Linked DNA regions of Anolis sagrei. The protein of the gene in region 1 purifies or fractionates together with the protein of each later gene. This does not show direct contact. Links are inferred from orthologs where the notes say so. Each region holds a gene or a part of one and is shown in the gene's direction. Other genes may lie near its edges. The genes, in order: E2F6 and MGA.

The links.
Region 2: the proteins of E2F6 (region 1) and MGA purify together in Homo sapiens (affinity purification with mass spectrometry; 3 studies listed by BioGRID and IntAct, counting the BioPlex papers as one, with this or other methods). This does not show direct contact. The link is inferred for Anolis sagrei from reciprocal best matches to the Homo sapiens genes E2F6 and MGA.

The regions. Positions count from the first base shown.
Region 1 is NC_090021.1:130,944,764-130,956,589, reverse strand, and holds the start of E2F6 (transcription factor E2F6), read left to right. Parts: upstream 1-5,908; 5' UTR 5,909-5,923; coding exon 5,924-6,106; intron 6,107-9,672; coding exon 9,673-9,766; intron 9,767-11,826. UniProt on the Homo sapiens protein: Inhibitor of E2F-dependent transcription. Binds DNA cooperatively with DP proteins through the E2 recognition site, 5'-TTTC[CG]CGC-3'. Has a preference for the 5'-TTTCCCGC-3' E2F recognition site.
Region 2 is NC_090021.1:288,158,365-288,170,517, reverse strand, and holds the start of MGA (MAX gene-associated protein), read left to right. Parts: upstream 1-7,016; 5' UTR 7,017-7,238; intron 7,239-10,178; exon of another isoform or gene 10,179-10,283; intron 10,284-11,428; exon of another isoform or gene 11,429-11,522; intron 11,523-12,153. UniProt on the Homo sapiens protein: Functions as a dual-specificity transcription factor, regulating the expression of both MAX-network and T-box family target genes. Functions as a repressor or an activator.

The DNA.
Region 1 (11,826 bases):
CAGAATAGGGTCATTGTGAGACTTAAGTTAACTTGGACACAGTAATAACAAGATATATGTGTTGTCAAAGGCTTTCATGGCCAGAATCACTGGGTTGCTGTGAGTTTTCCAGGCTGTATGGCCATGTTCCAGAAGCATTCACTCCTGATATTTTGACCACATGGCAGGCATCCTAGTGTGGATATTGCAATTGGCCAGCTTTTTTCTTGTCGTGTCAGGAGCGACTTGAGAAACTGCAAGTCGCTTCTGGTGTGAGAGAATTGGCTGTCTGCAAGGACGTTGCCCAGGAGACACCTGGATGATTTGATGTTTTTATCATCCTTGTGGGAGGCGTCTCTCATGTCCCCGTATGAGCATGATTAGCATTGAATGCACTTTGAGCTTCAAAGCCTGGCTGGTTGCTGCCTGGGAGAATTCTTTGTTGGGAGGTGTTAACTGGCTCTGATTGTTTTCCCCCAGGCAGGAAGTGGACAGACTTTGAAGCTGCGAGGCAATTCAATGCTAATCAAGCTGGCCAATTGCCACATTCACACTTGCCTCAAGCAGTCAAGAGTTCTTTCTCCCACCCAGGACATTATTCCACAGATATATAAACCTCACTTGCCCTGTTTCCAACAGACCTCACAACCTCTGAGGATGCCTGCTATAGATGTGGACAAAACGTCAGGAGAGAATGCTTCTGGAACATGGCCATGCAGCCTGGAAAACTCACAGCAACCCAACAAGATGTATACTCAGCAGTTGTTTCAAACTGAAATGCTAGGAAATGGGGTTGGGGTGTGTGTTTGAAAATCCGATGTAATTGAAGAATTGTCATTTATTTTCCCACATCTGTATCTCTGTCTGAAGGTACAGCTGTTGCCAGTGCATTTAATGTAAAGCCAGAATGTCAAGAAACCTGAAATAAGAAGGGGGGGGGGGATATTTCTGAAATTTTGAATATGATGGTTAGAAATCCATAAAACCTATTCAAGATGGTTTTTTTAATGTAACCACTTACAATATAATTTCTATTTTTAAACTTAGTTTGAAGCTCTGAAGCTTTGAGGCGAAATTTGGATTTTAGATTTTGTGTAGAAATACATTAAGCTGATCTGTAGTCACACTGAAGGAATATGCAAACCATGCATAGAAGAGTACAATTCTTAGCTACCACTTCAAAAGAAAAAATTGAATAGTTTAAAAGCAATACCTTAGCTAACTTTACTCTGGACAGTGACACAATGAAGACATCTGTCCTTGCACTTTGCTACTCTGCTGCTGAATACGCATGCCCAGTGTGGAATACATCGCACCACGTTAAAACAGTGGATGTGGCTCTTAATGAGACATGCCGCATTATCACAGGATGTCTACATCCTACACCACTGGAGAAATTATACTGTTTAGCCGGTATTTCATCACCTGACAACCATTGATAAGTACCAGACTGTAATGAAAGAAATAAGACATTGCCATCTCCAGCCCATCCTCTGTTCGGATATCAACCATGCCAACACCTTAACTCGTGAAATAGCTTTCTAAGCTCTACAGAGATAGTAGGAAGAACATCTCGGCAAGCAAGAGTCCAAAAGTGGCAGGCTAAAACCCAGAACCTCAATAAGTGGCTAAGATTGGATAAGAGACTCCCTCCTGGGCACACTGAAGACTGGACAACTTTATTTATTATTTATTTATTTACTTTACTTATATACCGCTGTTCTCAGCCCAGGGGCAACTTTGAAGGCACTGAACAGGCTGTGCTCTGGCACCACGAGATGCAGAGCCAACCTTAAGAAATGGGGCTATAAAGTGGAGTCCACAACATGCAAGTGGAGAGAAGAGCAAACCACAGACCACTTACTACAATGCAGTCTGAGCCCTGCCACATGCACAATGGAGGATCAATAGAAACTTTCTAAAGCATGGTTTCATGGCCATCAGGAACTTCTTCATTGTCAACTGAAATTCATAATTGTGCTATGCTTTGAATGTCTGTCATTTTTCAGTTCCAAAGATGGGACAGATACATTTGTAAATTAATTTATCATGCTTTCCACATCTTGCATGGCCAAATGATAAAGCAATCCTCCTTGTTTAGCAGCTCAAGCATAAATCTTTTTTTTTACATTATTGATGGTGAGCAACCAGCCCTGAAGTCTTTTGTGTATGTTTCAGTTCACAGATGATTGCCAGAAATATTGCCATAAATCACAAGATAAATTGTGTGTCATTCATGCGTTTACATGTCATGTTAGCCATCATTCAACAAAATCTCTGCCGTGCAATATGTCTGACAGGAAATTAACAACGAGGAGATGGAGCGTTGCTTTAACACATCATGGCTCACATTAAATCAATGTGTCCGTGATGAACAATAATGATAAATAATAATACTAGCTATTTTGTATTAGTAATTTAATTTTAGCAATTTGACATCAGAAATGGAGTGAAAATACAAGCAAAACTACTTCAGAGGCCCCATCTACATTGGCATATAATGCAATTTGGAACTGCATTATATGGACAGTGTAGACCAGGCATGGGCAAACTTTGGCCCTCCGGGTGTTTTGGACTTCAACTCGCACCATTCCTAACAGCCTCAGGCCCTTTCATTCCCTTCTCAGCCACTTAAGCCCAGTTGGGAGGTGTTAGCTGGCCCTGATTATTTCATGTCAGGAATTTTCCTGTTGTTCCCCTGTTGACACAGCATATTATTTGAGAACACAGAAATGCTGGACCACTCTAGCAACCACCATGTCAGACTAGAAAGAGAAACCATTGAAATCCACAAGCATTTCAATAGAATGGAGGAAGCCATGAACATGAACAAAATCTGGCTACCAGTATTTAAAAAAACTTGAAAATCAGAACAGTCAATAAAGAGCAACACTCAGAGGAATTCCTGACATGAAATAATCAAAGCCAGCTAACATCTCCCAACAAAGGATTTCCCAGGCAGGAATCAGTCAGTCTTTGAAGCTGCAAGGCCACCCAATGCTAATCAAGGTGGCCAGTTGCAACATTCACACTTGCCTCAAGCAGACAAGCGTTCTTTCTCCCACCCTAAACCTCACTTGCCTAGTTTCCAACAGACCTCACAACTTCTGAGGACGCCTGCCATAGATGTGGGTGAAATGTCAGAAGAGAATGCTTCTGGAACATGGCTATACAGCCTGGAAAACTCACAGCAACCCTATATTGAATTGGTTGAGATTTGATGCGATAAGCATTGAAAAACTAGAGCAAATGTGATGCAGGAAGTCCTACAGGGACAAAAATTTCAGTTTAATAAACTTTTTCCATGTTTTATGAATGAACCAATTAGGAAACGACATTTATAACATAGGAACAAAAATTTTGTTACCTAGTGTTATGACAATCTTAGGAAATAACATTGCTGCCCTCTGGTGGACAATAAGGAAGAAACAACTTGAACTAACTGAAAGCCACTGATGATCATCTACGTTAGACTTATAATTTTTTTTCTTGTCAGGAGCAACTTGAGAAACTGCAAGTTGCTTCTGGTGTGAGATAATTGGCTGTCTGCAAAGACGTTGTGCAGTTTTTGATGTTTTTGATGTTCTACCATCCTTGTGGGAGACTTCTCTCATGTCCCCACATGGGGAGCTGGAGCTGAAAGAGGGAGCTCATCCATGCTATCCCCAGATTCGAATCTGTGACCTGTTGGTCTTCAATCCTGCTGGCACAAGGGTTTAACCCACTGCACCACTGGGGGCTCCTTACACACTATAGTTATAGTGCTATTATTCCACTTTAACTGACATGAGACAATTCCATAAAATTCAGTCTTTGCATTTAGTGGGGCCCAAGAACACTCCAGTATTCTATAGGCAAGGACCGAACAGAAGCTGAAGAGATCAAGAGAAGGTGGCAGATCTGTATAAAAAGGATAATAGTATTGAGGATAACTTTGACGGTGTGGTGAGTGAAATAGAACCAAACATCCTGAGAGGTGAGGTTGAATGGGTCTTAAGAAGCATTGCTAATAACAAGGCAGCAGGAGATGACGAGATCCCAGCTGAACTGTTTAAAATCTTGAAAGAGGATGCTGTCAAGGTGATGCACGTATGCCATATGCCAGCAAATATGGAAAGCACAAGAATTGACATCAGATTGGAAAAAATCAATTTATATCCCCATACCAAAAAAGGCAAACACTAAAGATGCCCAAGCTTGTTGTGAGGTCTGTTAGAAACTAGGAATATTGGGTTTATATATCAATGGAATAGTAAAAGCATAGTAAAAGCAATGGTATTCCCTGTATGGATGTGAGAGCTGGACCATAGGAAAGGCTGAGCAAAGGAAGAGAGATGCTTTTGGACTGTGGTGCTGGAGGAAAGTTTGAGAGTGCCTTGGACTGCCAGAAGATGCAACCAATCCATACTTCAGGAAATAAAGCCCGACCGCTCACTGGAGGGAAGGATAGTAGAGGCCAAGATGCAGTATTTTGGACACATCATGAGAAGAAAGGAAAGCTTGGAGAAGAGAATGTTGCTGGGAAAAATGGAAGGGAAAAGGAAGAGGGGCCGACCAAGGGCAAGATGGATGGATGGCATCCTTGAAGTGACTGGATTGACATTGAAGGAGCTGAGAGCTCTGCTGTGAGCTGGTCCATTCATTCAGTAGGAAGCAACTGAACAAATTAACAACTTATCAGTAGAAAATCCAGGGTGGGAGAAAGAACTCTTGTCTGTTGGAGCTAGCTATGAATGTTTCAAAGGACCATTAGCATTTGATGGCCTGAAAGTTTTTAAGTGTGACTTGTTACTGCCTGGGGGAATCCTTTGTTGAGAGGTGATTAGCTGTCTCTGATTGTTTCCTGACTAGAGTTTCCCTGTGTTTGAGATTTGTTCTTTATTTACTTTTATAATTGAATTAGTCTTCCCCTGCCAGGCGTTGCTGTGGCCCAGTCTGGTGATCTGGAAAATGAAGTAATGAGAAAGTGTTGGATTGTAATATATATAATTTATTGCTGCTTGTGGGTAAACAGTATTTCTTGCTGTTTCTTTGTCAGTGTTGATGTAGAGATTGTCAGGTTTGCCTACACAGAAACAGGCAACATATCATTGTCCTTTTTTTTCAAATCTAGGATACTATATCTCTGTGTGTGTCAATCATATGTATCTATATCTATGGTTGGGTGGCTCTTTGTCAGGAGGGTTTTGATTACATTTTCTTGCCATGGTGAAGGGAGTTGGACTGGATGGCCTTATGTATTTTTTGTTGGTCATGGGGGTTCTGTGTGGGAAGTTTGGTTCAATTCTATCATTGGTGGGGTTCAGAATGCTTTAATTTAGGTGAACTATAAATCCCAACAACTACAACTCCCAAATGACAAAATCATATTTTTTTAGTGATGGTCACTCTTTGGCCTGATACGTGTTGTGTCCAAATTTGGTGTCAATTCGTCCAGTGGGTTTTGAATTATGTTAATCCCACAAACGGACATTACATTTATATTTATATAGATGTGAATGTTGCAAATGGCCACCTTGATTAGCACTGCAGCTGCAAAGACTGGCTGATTCCTGCCTGGGGAATCCTTTGTTGGGAGGTGTTAGCTGGCCTTGATTGTTTCATGTCAGGAATTCCCCTGAGTGTTGCTCTTTATTGACTGTCCTGATTTTAGAGTTTTTTTAAATACTGGTAGCCAGATTTTGTTCATTTTCATGGTTTTCTCCTTTGTGTTGAAATTGATCCCATGCTTGTGGATTTCAATAGCATCTCTGTGTATCCTGACATGCTGGTTGAGGCTGGTCCAGCACTTCTGTGTTCTCAAATAATATGCTGTGCCCAGGTTGGCTGATTAGGTGCTCTGCTATGGCTGACTTCTCTGGTTGGCTTAGTCTGTTCCTTGATTCAGGTTGGGGCAACGCTGCGTTTGGTAGTCCCTATGGAGGATTCTCAGTCTCTGTCCAACATGGAGAGCTGGCGGGGATGGGGAAGCCACTGGAGGCGGGCCCTGCTGGCTGCCTCTGCCTCGTCACCCGCGGCTCCTCCTCCCATCAGAGGAGGAAAAGGAAGAGGAGGAGGAAGAGGCTGGGCCAGGATGGCGGCCCCGGTCTCGCCCGAGAGCTTGGAGGAGTCGCTGGACTGGCAGGAAGTGAGTCTTCCCTCTTGGCTGGGTTGCTTAGAAGCGCCTCTCCTTTGGCAGGGTCTGGGAATTTTTCCTGGGTGGGAGAAAAGCCACAAAGAGGAAAGGAGGAGGGGAAATCTCTTTCTCTGGACCTAGCCTGAAAACAACCAGGACGAGGCCGGGCTCTTTCCTTTTGGGTGCTCACTCCACCCTGGCATTGTGCGTAGACACCTCCAAGGTCATGTGGCCAGCATGACTGCACTTGGAGGCACTCTTCCCTTTTCTGGCTTGGAGGGGAAAGGGGGAAAGAGCACACCCATCTGCAACTCCCAGGGCCTTGAGCCATAAAGCAGGGCCAGACTGCCTCAATTCCACAGTGTAGATGGGCCTAAGGGGCTTTCCACACAGCTGTAGACAATCCCACATTATCTGCTTTGAACTGGGATATATGGCAGCGTGGACTCAGGCCCCTTCCACACAGCTGTATACAACCCCACAGTATTTGCTTTGAACTGGGTTAGGAAAAGGTAAAGCTTTTTCCCTGACATGACATCCAGTCGTGTCCATCTCTCAAGTGTGGTGCTCATCTCCATTTCTGAGCCAAAGAGCCAGCATTGTCCATAGACACCTCCAAGGTCATGTGGCCATAGGCATGACTGCATGGAGCACCATTACCTTCCCACCGGAGCGATATTTATTGATCTACTCACATTTGCATGTTTTTGATCTGCTAGTTTGGCAGAAGCTGGGGCTGACAGCGGAAGCTCACGCTGTTCCTGGGATTCAAATCTGTGACCTTTCAGTCAACAAGCTCATCAGCTCAGCGCTTTAGCCCACTGTGCCACCAGGGGCTCCTTGAACTGGATTATATGGACTCAAATAACTCAATTCAAAGCAGATATTGTGGGTTATCTGCCTTGATATTCAGGGATATAGGGCTGTGTGGAAGGGCCCTCAGATAACCCAGTTCAAAGCAGGTATTGTGGGATCTTCTGCTTTGATATGGCTGTGTGGAAGGGCCGTAAACAAACACAATATAGTCTATGCAGTATAGCATATAGTGACACCAAAACCCCCAATTCACTGTCACTATATCCTATACAGTGTTCCCTCACTACTTCACGGTTCGGTTTCAGCAGGCTCGCTGTTTTGCAGTTTTCAAAAAATATTAATTTAAAATATATATCGCAGGGTGTTTGTTTGTTTGTTTGTTTTTTTGCTGTTTTGTGGGTTTTTGTTGCTGCTGCTCTCCAAGGCGCTTTCCCTCCTCAGTCCTCCCTCCAGCCTTGAAGGGCCTTTCCTTCCTTTCCTTCACTTTTTTTAAGTGTATAAAGACTTAAAATAGCATATAACTCCTAAAATAATGTATAAATATTAAGATAAATAGCAAGTCCCTACATCACAGTTTTTCACTTATTGCGGGAGGTCCTGGAACGTAACACCCACAGTAAGTGAAGGAACACTGTATGGTCATTACAGTTCTCCTATTGCATTGACTATATTGTGTTTGTTTACCTACCTTACAAGTATTCTGGGATATTGCTGAATGGAAGGGCCCCCAGAATATCAAGGCAGGTAATCCACAATATCTGCTTTGAACTGGGTTGTCTCAGTCCTCGCTACCATATAGAGTTGGAAGAGGCCTTGTGGGCCATCCAGCCCAACCCCCCGCCAAGAAGCAGGAAAATTGCATTCAAAGCAGCCCAGACAGATGGCCATCCAGCCTCTGCTGGAATATATGGCAGTGTGGCCTCAGATAACCCACTTCAAAGCAGATATTGTGGGATGTTCTTTCTTGATATTCTGAGATATATGGCTGTGTGGAAGGGCCCTTAGTTTCTTCATTATTTGTGTTCTGCTTTTCTGTCATGTATGTTTAGAAAGCTAGAACACGAAAGGTCTATAGCTATGTATTTATATACAAGAAGCTAGATCTCCTCGCTTTTTACTACCTTTGTGGAGGACCTTTTTGTCCACTTTTCCTGCCAGCGTTCCTATCTCTTTTGTTGGAGGAATTATTTCAAGAGCAAACATTGTTACAGATTATCCATAAAGCCTTTGTACCAATATCCCCTGTATCAGCGTTGAGTCTCATTCAAAAGTGGAGATATAAATAACACTATGTAGCAAAACTTGAAAAATATATTTTCCAGGTTGGAAAGTGTTATTCCCAGTTTAATTGTGCAGAACTTAGTTTGAAAATAGTTGTTCTACTCCAGAAACTTTGTTTTTTGTGGCTGCCATAAATTATGTTGAATTGGGTGAGACTTGAGATATCCATTGAAAAACTATAGCAGGATGTCCCGCAAAGATGTTTTTGTTTTTGTAGTTTAACAAACTTTTTCAATGTTTTTAATGATACAACCCACTTTGAAAGTGACATTTATAACCCAGGAACAAAAATTATGTTACATAGTGTAATAGCATGATTATGTCACATTTGTTACAGGATGAGCATTTTGGACACATGGGCCCCTTCCACACATCTGAATAAAATCCCACATTATCTACTTTGAACTAGAATATATGGCAGTGTGGACTCAGATAACCCAGTTCAAAGCAGTGATTTTCTGCCTTGATATTCTGGTTTATATGACTGCCTAGAAGGGTCCACAGATGCTTTCACACTTATTTGCTTATTTATTTATTTACAGTATTTATATTCTACCCTTCTCACCCCATAGGGGACTCAGGGTGGATTACAATTCACATATACATGGCAAACATTCAATGCTATTAGACATTCAACATATATAGATAGACACAGAGGCAATTTAACATTCCAGCTTTCCAGCTTCATGAGGGTATGCTCGATTTTGGCCACAGCGGGAGCTTCCACTTTACCATCCACTTGTGACACTGAGTCCTTGATGGAGTGCTTCCTCATTCTTCCACACACTGCTGGAAGGTTGTTTTTTTTATGGTGTCATAAATTAGTTAAATTAGCCTCCCCGCATAAAGTGGTTCCTAAATTTCCTACTTGACAGATGTAACTGTCTTTCGGGCTACATAGGTCAACAGCAAGATAGACTATTAATGGTCAGGAGCTCACCCCAACCTGGGCTGGCTTCGAACTTATAATCTCTCGGTCAGTAGTGATTTCATGCAGCTGGCTACTAACTAGCTGCGCCACACCCCGGTCGCTTCACAATTGTAGCACTATGCTTCCACTTTAACTGGCAGCATTTTCCTATAGACTTCTGAAAGCAACGGTTTAGAAGGAACACCTAGAATTTCCAATTTGGGGGGCTCCTCAACTGCCCCCTCCCCCAACCACCAGCACTACAAACCCTGGGATTTTATAGGATGTAGCCATGGTCATTAAAACGGAATCATGAGGCCATAACTGCAGAGTGAAAAGGTCCCCAAGTTATCATAGGTCAGCTGTGTGGCTACAGCTTACAAACTACAGCCCCTTCCACACAGCTGAATAAAATCCCACATTATCTGCTTTGAACTGGAATATATGGCAATGTATTGTAGGGTGTTTTTGCCTTCATATTCTAGGTTATATGGCTGTGCAGAAGGGCCCTACGTGAGCAATAGATGAATTTCCAGAAACACTGTTCTAATTATTCTTTTTATCTTCACAGGCAGGATTTAAAACTGAAAATGAAGATGATCTACAGTTTATATCTGTCAGCAATCAACAATTAGATGAAGGTGCAACTTTTGTGAGAGTTAGAAGTAAGTGTGCTCTCCACTCAAAACCCCAAAATCTATCTTGATTGTTCCAAAACTCTATTTAGAGACTACATTCTCTCTCTAAATTATATTACATTTGCAATTAAAATATTACTCAAATACATTTTGGATTAGGCTTATCACCTAAATATTAAGAAGAACAAAGGACCTCCCTTTGCCAGAGAAAGTGACTCAGGGTTGTGGGGAGAAGAGAATCAGATTTGGACAGGGAAAGTGAGCTACCTGAGGGCCCTTCTACACTGCCATATAATCAAGAATATAAAGGCAGATATTCCACATTATCTGATCTGAGCTGAATTATCTGAGTCTACACTGCCAGATAATCCAATTCAAAGCAGATAATCTGGATTTTATACAGCCTGAGTGAGACAGCTGTGGGAGTCTCTGGCTTTGTGGGGAAAATGGAATGGAGGCAACTTTGGGCAAATGCAGGGAGGGGTGAAAGGAAGATCAAAGTTGTTACTATTTAAATGCAGTGCAGGTTGGGAATAATTATAGTACCAATGATCACCACTTACATACCCCCGGTCAGCACAATGGCTTAAACCCTTGTGCTGACCAACAGGTCAGCGGTTTAAATCTGGAGGGAGCGGGTTGAGCTCCCTCTGTCAGCTCCAGCTCCCCATGCGGGGACATGAGAGAAGCCTCCCACAGGGGTGGTAAAACAGCAAACATCCGGACGTCCCCTGCAACGTCCTTGCAGGGGACATCCGGATGCTTACACAGTAGGGGCATTTAAAGTGAGAGTTATCAACCGTCAGTTGTTTGAAGAATAGTCAGTTCTCCATGTTCACAAGGGTTCGGAGCATAGGAAACCCGAGAAAGTGGAAAAACTAACCCCAGGGCAGGGCACGGATTGCTTGTGGAGCTGGCAAGCAGGGGATTTGCTGCTGCCTCACCTCTTGCAAAGCCAAGGGATTGGTAAAGCCTCAGGAATGGCCTGCTTTCAAAATCCTTGCAGCGGCATAGTTCTGACATGATTGGCGAAGGGCATTGTTGTTCCTATGCCATCCTGAAGCCTGAGGCTGGTGCATGCACATTTACACAGTAATTGCTGGTAATTGCTGCTGTTCCCCTTCCAGAAGTCCAAGGCTGCAGCGGAAATGTCAACATGGGCCCCCTCCACACAGTTGAATAAAATCCCACATTATCTGCTTTGAACTGGAATATATGGCAGTGCAGACACAGATAATTCAGTTCAAAGCAGATATTGTGGGATTTTTTGCCTTGATATTCTGGGATTATATGACTGCTTGGAAGTGCCCATGGTGGCCTTGGGCCTCATGAGGAGGGGTAACAAACCCACAAATAATCATATTAGTGAATGTGAAAGGCCAAGTGTAGTCAGGTGACAAGTGAATATTTTGTTTGTGAAAATATGATAACTCTATTTAAATCTACCTAAAGAAAAGTCCTGTCTCTGTCAAAGTATGGTAAATATTTGAAAGAAAGCGGTTGTCTCCAGTTTTTAACCAAGTGATAGCTAAATCATTCTGAGAGATAAAGAGAAAATGTTGCCATGCTTGTGCAACAGCTGCAGTAGTCTCTACACAATCACCCTGAAATTGGGGAGAGGTATGGGAAAGGGGACAACACTACTCTGAAAAGTAGAGAGCCTGATTACCGTGATAGGTATACTCCCAGTGTCTATGGGATGACTGCCAATGGTCATAGCTGTTGCTCATCATAATGACAACACTGCTACCAGGCATTAGAATGTTTTCATGTATGCCTTTTGTGCATGACCTGAGGCTAGGAAAGGAGGGCCGCACAATGTCTCATCTGCTTTGTATGGAAAGTCTACACAAGACAGTAGACAAGATATTATTGTTATTGGGTTGTTGTAGGGTTTTTCGGGCTGTATGGCCATGGTCTAGAGGCATTCTCTCTTAACATTTCGCCTGCATCTATGGCAAGCATCCTCAGAGGTAGTGAGGTCACTACAACCTACAACAACCCAGTGATTCCGGCCATGAAAGCCTTCGACAATTATTGTTATTGTCTATATGTAAGTTATATTAATTGTTTGCTTATTGCTTTGT
Region 2 (12,153 bases), about 160 Mb from region 1:
CCTCCTGATTTTCTGGGCAGGTAAAGTCAGTCGACATCATTACGCGGGTGCAATGCATAGTGGATTGTCATCAGTTTTCTTGTTTTTCTGTCCAGATCATCCAGTTCTGCTTGTGTCCAGTTCACAATTCCAGCAGTGTATCTAATGATGGGGATGGCCCAGGTGTTGATAGCCTTGATTGTATTTCTGCCATTTAATTTGCTCTTTGAAACCGTTCTGACTCTTTGGATATATTCTTTGCTGACCACATTTTTCACATGTGCATGCTTGATATTGCCCACTGTAGTATGCCCAGATATTTATAGGCTTCAGGCTGGTTGCATGTTATGGTTTGTCCGTTTGGCATCTCTATGCCCTTGCTGTCAGTAATTTTCCCTTTGTCGAAGGCTTTCATGGCTGGAATCACTAGGTTCTTGTGGGTTTTTTCGGGCTATAGGACCATGTTCTAGAGGCATTTCTCTTGACGTTTCGCCTGCAACTAATGAAGGTGATCAGTTGAAACATTCACACCTAGCTCCAGCAGAGAAGAGCTCTTTGTCCCACTCCAGCCATTCCACAGATATGTAAACCCATTGTCCTAATTCCAACAGACCTCACTTCCTCTGAGGATGCTTGCCATAGATGCAGGCGAAACGTCAGGAGAAATGCCTCTAGAACATGGCCCTATAGCCCGAAAAAACCCACAAGAACCTAATTTTCCCTTTCTTTAATGCCACTATGGCACATTTGTCTAGGTCGAACTCCATACCGATGTCAGTGCTGAAGATTCTGACTGTGTTGGTCAGTGTAACGAAATAGCTGATTATAATGTATGTTTTAAATGTGTTTATTGATGTTGGGATATGATAGGTGCAGGCCAGCTGATGTGTCACCTGTGCAGAGGTGTTGCCATAGTGACGGAACCGGCTGTTAGAATGTTTCCAAGTTAGAGAAGCCAAAGGGGCGGAGCTAACTGCCACCTGACAAGGGCAGGCATTTTAAAAAGTCAGTTTCTTTTAGTCGGTGGACAAAAGTGGAAGCTGTGTTCTAGTGTGTGGAGAAACCGAACCCAGGGGTTCAGTTTCTTCAGCCTGTGTGTTTTCAGAGTCAATTGGACCTGCTTAAATTAGTAATTAACTCATGAGCTAAGGGGGAAAGGAACTCCAGTAGAAATCCATAACTTCAGTGGGGATAGCTGAAGGGGAAAAAAGGCAAGCCGGTGCCTTGAATTGTCAGTTAAGAAAAGAAAGATACTTTGCAGTGAATAAGTTTAAAACCAGTCTGATGGAAGTAAAAGCCATACTGAGAGTTATATTGGAAACTGTTTAACTAAAGTCAACTGTAACAACATTTAAAGGAATACAGAATAACCATCAAATGTTGTACATCTGTGAATCCCTAAATAAATATTTCCTTGATCAGTTTTTTATAATTAAAACTCATGTCCATTTATTGAGAAGAAGATTTACCTCAGAAGAAGGCGGCTGAAGATATTGGAAGAAAGGATTCTGGATGGGGTAATGAGTTACTCCTTTTTAAAAAGGGCCTCAAATAAAAACATTTTTAAAAGTCAAGTCTCAGCTATACGCACCATCACTACTTTAGTCTCCTCATTACCCTGGTTATATATATATGTGTGTGTGTGTGTGTGTGTGTGTGTGTGTGATTTGTTCGTCATGTTTTACAGTCAGTGACTGGATTTCTGTTTCTGATTATCTGTAAAGCTTTAAATAATTCATGTACCGCAAGTGGGAAATTTTTGGTGAATTTCTTGCTGTTTGGTAGCCCAGGTTTGTTTTTTGTAGAATTACTGACAGAGGGATCATTGCAATGACAAACAGCAGTGGTCACAGTGAGTCGCCCTGGAAAATTCCTCTCTTGATGTTAACAGTACCATAGCTTTCATTGCCCACGAACAACTCCGTTTTCCATTGTTTCTTGCATTTTCAGTGAACTTTCTAATATTTTCACAAACCCTGATGACATCTAGACATTTGATAATCCAACAATGTGGCAGTGAGTCAAATGCTTTTTTGTAATCAATCCAAGTTGTATAGAGGTTTGTTTTGTGGCTTTTGCAATTCTCCAGTATCATTTTGTCAATCAGAAGCTGATCTTCCGTGCCCCTACTTCTTCTTTTATTGCCTTTTTGTTCTACTGGCAAGATGTTATTTTCCTCCAAGTAATCCTGGATTTGATCAGCTATTATTCCTGTCAGCAGTTTGAACATTGTAGGCAGACATGTTATTGGCCTGTAGTTTCCTGGTATTATCCCTTTTGCTGGATCTTTCTGTATCAAATATGTCTTCCCAGTTGTTATCCATTTGCTGACGTTTCCTGTTTGTAGCATCTCATTGAATTTTTTGCCCATTTTTGAGTGCATGCTAACCAGATATTTAAGCCAAAATCTGTGCCATTTATCATTGCCAGGTGATGTCCAGTTCTTAACTTTCTTCACTCTTTCAGTGATCATTTCTGTTGTTATTTCCAAGGTTCTCATTTTGTTCTCCGAAAATTTATTTTCAAAGTCTTTTATCCAAATTTCTAACACTTCTGTAGTTGTTTTGCTTCCAGTTGCCCTACAGGCCCATGATCTGGTTGCTCAGCAGCGGGTCCTGGTTCCTGTAGCCCACTTGTCGACGGGTGCCCAGGAAATGCACTCGCGGCAGTCCTTATTATCCTGAATGACAACCAAGTCAGTATAGACTTCATTAGTTTGTTTCACCATATTTAAATGGGTTGGGTGCACTTAGTTCTACTTCTCAGATGAGACCACTCTGGCTTGGTTGAACCTGCTGGTAGTTTACACTACCACCAGCACAGCTCTCAACATCATAGAAGCAGTTTATTTATTTATTCATTCATTCATTCGCTTCATTTATATACCGCTTTTCTCAGCCCTTAGGCGACTCAAAGCAGTTAACAACAACAATTTCAATACACACATTACAAAACCATTGGAGCATTTAAAAACAATAGCATAACAACAATTAAACATCAATATGACAATATGACAAATCATTCATGTCTCATCAATAAGCCCCCCGCAAATGACACAGTGGCACCTGATGGGATGATGATGATGATGATGATGATTAGTATTATTAATGCATGTAAGATCTTTCCCATTTGAGGATGGCTAAATTCAAGATAGTGGTCCTTTCAAAACACCTCATGTTCTAGATCCAGTATTACTGTTAAGAGCACCTTTATCTTTCTTTCTATTCCTTTTTTTGGGTGGAAAGCTCTTCATTACAGGCCTTTGCTGCAAATATCTGCAAAAAAAAAAAAACCCAAAAAAGAGCAACCAATGTGATGTTACAGAACTAAGAGATGGCACCTTCCTTTGTAAATGAATGGTCAAGATGTTCCTTTTCAAGCCTTATACCTCTTCCTTTTTCACTGAAACAAATATTAAAACATGAGGTTCATAACTGCACACATGCTCTTGGCTTTTGTGGTAGTTTATTCAGTTGTAAAGCAGTTATGAAACATTATCACTGCCTGATCTTGATAAAGTTTGTGGAAGAGGTTAAACAAAGGCAAGATATGGGCTGTTCCCATTATTCCTTGGAATGAGATGAATAGAGAGCAATCACCTCAGGCACACATTTCTCCACATAAAAACACTTATAACACAACAAAGAATAATAATTCTTGGTACCTCGATTTTTAGGCCTGTTCCTAAAAACTGGGGCACTGTTTCAGAAAATTGCATTGGATAGCCACATCAGCTCTAATTTCTTCAATATGGTTATCATGGCAACTGGTAGATGGCATATATTGCAGCTCAAAAACCTGAAATACAGACAGTATAGGGGAAACTGGTGCCATTTCTGGAATCAGAAGGTTAAATATACCCAGAAATAGGACTAACATTTGAGGTGCCAAAATGTGTGCTGCCCAGTATTGTTTATAACTGTAGCTCTGCAGGTTATTATAGTAATGGATGTTGAATTTGAATGCTTTGATATCATCATCATAGACCACGACATGCAAGTGTGGAAAAGAACAAACCACTGACCACCTACTAAAATGCAGTCTGAGCCCTGCCACATGCACAATGGAGGACCTTCTTACAGTAACATCAAAGGCATTACAAGTGGCCAGCTTCTGGTCAAAGGAAATTTAGCATAATTCCAAGTTTTTAACTTTGTAGTCTTTGATACATTATAACTGTATTCTCAATTTGCTTCTAACACAAAAATAAATAAAATCATAGACTATCATTTGTGGTTGAGTATGATTGCCTTCCAAGTGTAGGGTCTCGATGGTGGATCTGTAGGTGACTGTATAGACCTATTCCTGATTTGCATGTTCAATTGCAGCGAGAACATAGATTTCCAGATGGAAAGTGGTCCTGACAACAATTGGCTTGATGTGCCTTCCTTTATCCCTTTCGCCCTTTTATCCTGTACATGTGGCCCGCCCACTGTTATCGTGATTGTGTTTATTGGAATGTTATTTTGTTACTGTATTCATTTTTTTCTTTTTATGTAATTTTGATGATGTTGCTTGTTGTTTATGTTTTGGTTTTATTTTGCTGTAATATGTTGTCTGGGCTTGGCCCCATGTAAGCCGCTCTGAGTCCCCATTGGGGAGATGGTGGCGGGGTATAAATAAAGTTTATCATTATTATTTTATTATTAAACCATGTTTAATCTCTTTAATAATACATACGAGGACCTTTAGATTTTTTTATTAGAACTTTAGAATTCGGAGATTGAATATGCCACTTTACCTACAGCAGTGCTTCTTAACCTGTGGGTTGCAGCCCACCAGTGGGCCATGAGGATGAAAATCTAGTCCGCGAGCCTCCTTCCTCTTTATTTTATTTCCGCTCTTTCGCGCTGTCTGCCACTCCCTGCTTCTGACCATGGCATATGTTCTGTATCAGAACTAGAGCTGATGTGGTCTAGCCAATACAATTTTCTGAATCAGCACACCAAACCAAATCTAAGTTGATCAAAAACTGATTTGTAACCCTTTTGGTACTAATGTTGGAGAGTGGCTCCTGGTCATAGTCAATAGTCAAGTGGTCCCTGGTCAAAAAAAGGTTGGGAACCACTCATCTATAGCAATTGCTGTATTTTATTGTTTTTACTAGGGGATACTGTATATTTATGATGTGTTGACTGTTTATTGTCTTATGTTTCGTTTTGCACTTGTATTTTGCATGCCACACCTTGAGTGTTCTGTGAGCCATCCCGAGTCCCTCTGGGAGATGATGGCAGGGTAGAAATAAACTATTATTATGGCCTTGCAGCTTCAAAGCATAGCTGATTGCTGTCTGGGGAGGTCCTTTGTTTAGCTGGGAGAAGAGAAGGTGGATAGGGAACATGAAAACCATGTTTCAAGATTTAAAAGGTTGCCCCATTGAGGTGGGGAGTGGGGAACTGACTTTCTGCTGCTCTGGAGACCAGGGCATAGGGGAGCAATGGTTTCAAAAGGCAGGGGAAAAGATTTGACTGAAAACATTAGGAAGAAATTCCTGATTGGTGGAGACGAGAGACAGGGCCTTCTCAACTGTGGCTCCCTGTCACAGACAGGGAGCAAGTGTTGAGAAGGCCCTGTCTGTGGAATTCCCTCCCCAAAGACATCAGACTGGCCACCTCCCTCCTGTCCTTTAGAAGAAAACTCAAGACTTGGCTGTGGGACCTTGCATTTGACCATTGAACAGCGGGTTGTATGAAGACATCAGCAATTTTGAAGTGACAATGAATTGACCTGGGTTTTAATTGGCGTGTTTTATTTAATATTTAATGTTTTGTTTTAATGAATGTGTTGATTATTCTTATCATCATGATGGCACCGAATGGTGTTTGCTGTGAGGCCGCCCTGAGTCCCCCCTCGGGGGTGAGAAGGGCGGGGTACAAGTATATGAAATAAATAAATAAATAAGAGTGGCATAGGCTGCCTGGCAGTACGATGGGGTGGTGCCCCTGGTGGCAGAGTGGGTTAAACCCGTGTGCCGGCAGGACTGAAGACCGACAGGTTGTAGGTTCGAATTCGAGGAGAAGTGGATGAGCGGGGACATGAGAGAAGCCTCCCATAAGGATGATAAAAACATAAAATCATCCAGGCGTCCCCTGGGCAATGTCCTTGCAGACGGCCAATTCTCTCACACCAGAAGCGACTTGCAGTTTCTCCAGTCGCTCCTGACACGACCAAAAAAAAAAAAGTATGATGGGAGTTTCCTTCTCTGGAGGCTCTTCAGCAGCGATCCTTTGTTTGGAGTGTTAGCTGTCCTGACTGATTCTTGTCTGGAATTCCCTTTACAGATACATAAACCTCACTGGCCTAGTTTCCAACAGACTTGGAGGATGCCTGGCATAGTTGTGGGCGAAACGTCGAGAGAGAATGCTTCTGGAACATGGCCACACAGCCATGAAAGCCTTCGACAACACATTGTCCTATTTGCCTCTCTCTCAGCCCTTCTCATCGGGGCGCGCGAACGCGCGTGAAGGAGCCACGCTGAGGAGAAAGGCCGAAAAGCGAGGGAATGGAGACTGCCTTCGCGCTTGACAAAACGCCCAAGCGCCAGTCTTGCCTGAAGAGAAGGCTGGAGGCACCGCGAAGAAACGCAACGGCTCCCCCGCAATGGCTCCGCGAGAGCGAGGCAGGCAGGCGGCACAAGGCGAGGCCTCCGGGAGAAGCGGGCACGCGCCTCTCCGCCTCGCTCCCTTTCCATTCAGGCCACAAGAGGGGAGGGGGCGGCGTTAGGAGCGGCCCTCTACCGCGCGAGCAGCGGAAATAACTGCCACTCCCCGCCCCCTCCCCCTCCCAAACATTCCAGAACCTTCCGCGACGTAGCCTACAGCTTTAGGAGGAAAAGCGAACAGAACATGCGCGGAAAGGAAAGCGAGATTGAGAGAGAGGAGAGAGAGAGGGGGGGGGAGAAAAGCGCATGCGCAGAGTAGGTGGGTGCAGGGGGATGTGGCCGAGCAGCAGAGAAAGGAAGGAGGCGCCGGGGCACGTGACAGCCCGCAGGCGAGGAGGCGGCGGCGGCGGCGGCGCGCGGGGCCGGCTCTGCGCAGGCGGCATGGGAGGCGCGCGCCGGCGACGTCACATGGGTGGGTGCGTGCGCACGCTGTCCTCTCCACGATTTGATTCTAGAGCACAACAAGACAGGGAAGGGAGAGAGGAGGGGAGGGGGGGGGGAGCGCGCCCATGGCTTCGCTCGGTGACTGATTGACGGACTGACTGGGACGGAGACAGGCCCCGGATGGCGGGAAGCGCCGAGGAAGACTCCGAACAAGGTCTGTCTGGCGTGGGGCCGCGAATCCGGGAGTGGAGGATGGAGGAGGAAAAGGTTCTCTCGCGCGCAATTTTCCCGCGTGGCTCGCACACATCTCCTGCCTATGGAGGAGGCTGGCAAAAATGGACACCCGCGGGCGAGGGCCTTGTCGGAGGCCCTTGGGGGGGGGGGGGAGGCGTGATCGCGTCGTTTCCTCGCGTGCCATGGAGGCGCATCTCGCCACGCGGGGCGCTCCCCATTCGAAGCTTGTTGGCCTCCGAGGGGCCAGGGGAGCGGGGCTTGTTATGGGGCGCCGGGCGCTTTTGCTCAGGCCTTCCCTCGGCCTGTTGGTGGCTGAAGTCCGCCGGCTAATCACCCCACGCAGCTCTGCTTCTGGCGGGGGAAGGGAGGGAGGCCAGCAAGTGTTGTTCCTTGGGACGGAAGGCTTCCTTCCCACTAGAACAGTGGAAAGAAATACATAATCAAAAGAAAACGAGGGTGGAGGCGCTTTAAGGCAGTGGTTCTCAGCCTTCTAAATGTCGCAACCCCATAATTCAGGTCCTCACGTTGTGGTGACCCCCAACCATAACATTATTTTCATTGCTACTTCATAACTATGATTTTGCTACTGTTATGAATCGTGATGTAAATATCTGATATTCAGGATGCATTTTCATTCACTGGACCAATTTTGGCACAAATACCCTATATGCCCAAATTTGGTGGGTTTGGGGAGATTAATTTTGTCATCTGGGAGTGGTAGTTGCTGGGGTTTATAGTTAACCTGCAATCAAAGAGCATTCTGAACCACACCAATGAAAGAATTGAACCAATCTTGGCACACAGAACTCCCATGACCAACAGAAAATACTGGAAGGGTTTGATAGGCATTGACCTTAAGTTCTGGAATTGTAATTCACCTACATCCAGAGAGCACTGTGGACTTAAGCAATGATAGATCTGGACCAATACTCAATATGCTCAAATGCGAACACTGGTTTAGTTTGGGGAAAATAGACCTTGACATTTGGGAGTTGTAGTTGTTGGGATTTATAGTTCACCTACAATCAAAGAGTGTTCTGAACCCTACCAGCGATAGAATTGGGCCAAACTTCCCACACAGAATCCTCATGACCAACAAAATACTGTGTTTTCTGATGGTCTCTGACACCCCCTCGAACCCCCCCCCCCCCCGGGGTCCTGACACCCAAGTTGAGAAATGCTGTATTAGGACTTCCAGGGCTGTGACCACATCGCTTTTCCAAGTGTTTTGTGCTTCAGGTCCCAGAATCCCATATTGTTGGCCAAGACAGTTGAGGCTTCAGGGACTTGGAATTCCAAAACACTTGGAGATCTAGAGCAGGCATGGGCAAACTTCAGCCCTCGGAGTGTTTGGACACCAAGTCCCTCCCACAATTCCTAACAGCCGATAGTGATGTTGAAGTCCAAAACACCCAGAGGGCCAAAGTTTGCCTGTGCTGGCCTTATAGGATTCTGTAGCATTCAGTCAAGGCAATTAAATGGGTGTCAAAACTGCATTAATTCTGCAGCGTGGAACCACTCCTGGTCAGAAGGTCACAAGCACTGATTGGCTGAATATTGGTGGATTGTTTCAGAATCTCCATCTTCAAGCATGTTGCGGGACCACTTGTTTGTAACCTTGTCTTAAGTGTGAAAAGTTAAGTCTTAGGATTCATCAGATGTGCTTTCTTTCTATTAAGTACTTTAAACAAATGTTAACAATATTTGTTGATCAGCACTAACATCAAGCAAAATCCTAATATTTCAATATAATATATTCTTACTAGTATTCAAATCCAGGGAGCGGGGTGAGCTCCTGCTGTTAGGCCCAGCTTCCGCCAACTTAGCAGTTCGAAAACATGCAAATGTGAGTAGATTGATAGGGACCACCCCAAACGGGAAGGTAACGGTGCTCCATGCAGTCATGCCGTTCACATAATCTTAGAGGGGTCTATGGACAACGCCAGCTCTTCGACTTAGAAATTGAGATGAGCACCACCACCAGAGTCGGACAGATGTCAAGGGGAAACTTTTACCTTTTTTATTCATTGATCTATCTCAGTGGTTCCCAACCTTTGGTCTTTCCTGTGTTTTGGACTTCAACTCCCAGAAATCCCAAACAGTTTGGGCTTCCAGAAATCTCAGCCTATTAGGAATTGTGGGATCTAAAGTCCAAAACATCCAAAGGGCCAAAGGTTGGAAACCACTGATGATCTGTATGTTGAGTGAGAGGCAGTGTCCTGTAACGGTTTGAACATTGGGCTATGGCTCTGGAAACCAGGATCCAAATCCTCACTCAGCTATGGAAACCCACTGGATGTCCTTGGGGAAATTTCATTATCTAAGGACTTGAAATTATTTGAAGACACACAACAAGAAGTGTATGTGCAGGTTTTTCAAAATGGTACTGCAACAAGTTAGATTGTGATACAATAAAAGCATAAAACAGCTAAAATCAGCGTCAGAATTATACATGTTGAGTGCTCACTTACTTAGGCAATCCCTCGTTGGCCGAGTAGAATAGTCTTCCGGGGCAGTATTCTTGTTGGTTCCTTAGGTGGCTGTGGCGTCCTCTTCTTGATCTGCATCTTCTCCTGCAGTGAAGGCATTGATTTCCAGGTGGAAGGCAGTCTCGGTTGGGGTTGGCTTGACGCGCCTTCCTCTTGGCACGTTTCTCTCTTTCACCCTCCATTCGTGCCTCTTCAAATTCTGCAGCACTGCTGGTCAAAGCTGACCTCCAGCTGAAGCGCTCAAGGGCCAGGGCTTCCCAGTTCTCAAAGTCTATGCCAGAGTTTTTAAGGTTGGCTTTGAGCCCATCTTTAAATCTCTTTTCCTTTCCACCAACATTCTGTTTTCCATTCTTGATTTCGGAGTAGAGCAACTGCTTTGGGAGACGGTGGTTGAGTATGCCTTATCCAAAATGCATGTGCTCTGCATATGGGCGCTTGCTTTGGCACCACCTATATTAAAATTGGAATGATACAGAGAACATTCTCATGGTTTCTGCACAAGGAAGGCATGCACATTTGTGATATTTTAGTTTTTTGGGCTGAGCCAGGGATGTGCTGTGAAGTGGTTTCTATATGTGAATAGGTTTTTAATTATTTTATTGGTTGTAACTTCATTTGTAATACACAGTGTTTAATCAAATTTTAATGTGTGTATTTTTTAAGGTTTTGTTTGCATGTTTTTAAGGTTTTAAATTATTTAGGGTATTGTTTTTAGTGTTAGCCACTTTGGGTCTGTCTTTAGAGATAGAAATAATAATAACAATAATAATAATACCAGAAGATTTTTTGAATTTCAGATATTTTTAATATATTTGACTGCTGGTATTTGCATATATGTACATGGAGATGTGACTTAAGTCTAAATATTAAATTAATTTATGGTTTATTTACACTTTATATACATGACTTGAAGGCAACTTTATAAAATATGTTTAATAATTCTGGGCCTGAAGCAAAAATTGTGTACATCAAGCTAACAGAAAGCAAAGGTGTCATTATCTCAGCCACCTATGTGGGCAGTTATGCACTTTGGAAGACTTTGGATTTCAAATTAGGGGTGTACTTTTTTCCTATGCTGATGTATATAGAAATAGGAGCAAATATTTCCTCCATTTTAGTATCTGAGGTTTGAATTACATATGAAGGAAAAATAGTCATTTTGGAAAGGTTCTGTAGATTACTGTTTTTAGCATTCAAAGTAAAGTGCATTTCGTTGTGTGTAGACTTTAGTGCACGAGTCTTTTAATTTTTATAGTAGTAAAACAATACCAATAGAATTCAGTGGTGCTGCTTATCTAAAACATTGCAGTGCCATGGTAGGATAACATTTTAATTTAAGATACACTGTTGCATATTATTATACAATGTACTCTATTCTAACTACATTTTCAAAGCCAGATGATGTAAACATTGTGCTGCTATCTCAAAAATGTAATCATTCTTAAAACTGTTACATTGTTTTTAAGAGAGAAAAATTAGAAAATCGACGTTTATCATACCTTAATGAGGATTTGGATTCAGGCTTCAATATTTCTGTTCCTTGTTTTAAAAAAATGCTGCTGGATTCATTCAAGCACTCATATATTTAGTGGTTGGTTAACATTAGTTAATGTCAATGTTTGGCAGGTTCAAGGCATGGTGGGAAGATTCCCCTCTTCCTTTGTGGCTGAAGGTGATAAAATAACCCAGGATAACAGGATTAATTGTGTTTCTAGTCAGAGTATCTCCATGCATTTATCTTTCCATATGATAATGCATTATGGCACCCTATTGAGGTAGGCTTACTATGTTGTGAGTTCACAGTTTTGCTGATACTAGAGGAAAATTTTGTTTGAGAACTTAGTGTCCAACATATCATTTCAATAGTTTATTTTATAAAGAAACTTAAATGGAGGCGAATTCTGTCAGAGTTTGTGTTGATTGATTTTTCCCTAATGTAGTTGCATGATGTTTACTTGTTTACAAATTAATGTTGCAACTACACTTCTGTGGTAGCTTTTAAAACTATGTCTTGTCAATGTTACAACTTCTGCATTTTATAAAAATTACCAAAACATTTAAAAAATGAACATTAACTTGCAAATGATTTTTGTCTCCATGGTTACTTTTGATTAGATGCTTGGTTTTAAACTTAATTTTTTGTAATGTCAAAGAATCATTTACTAAATTTTTCAGAATTGAAAATAAGGTTTGAAGGGCAGGATCTGGCTATATTTGCAGAGTTGGAAGTGACTTTCTTTTCCATACTCTTAACTGTTAGAGTGTGGAAAAGAAAATCACTTCCAACTGTGCAAATATAGCCAGCTCCTGCCCTTCATACCTTATTTTCAATTCTGAAAAATTTAGTAAATGATTATTATTAATGTTGGGAAAATACTGCAAGTCCCAAATGTTGCACCTGCTTAC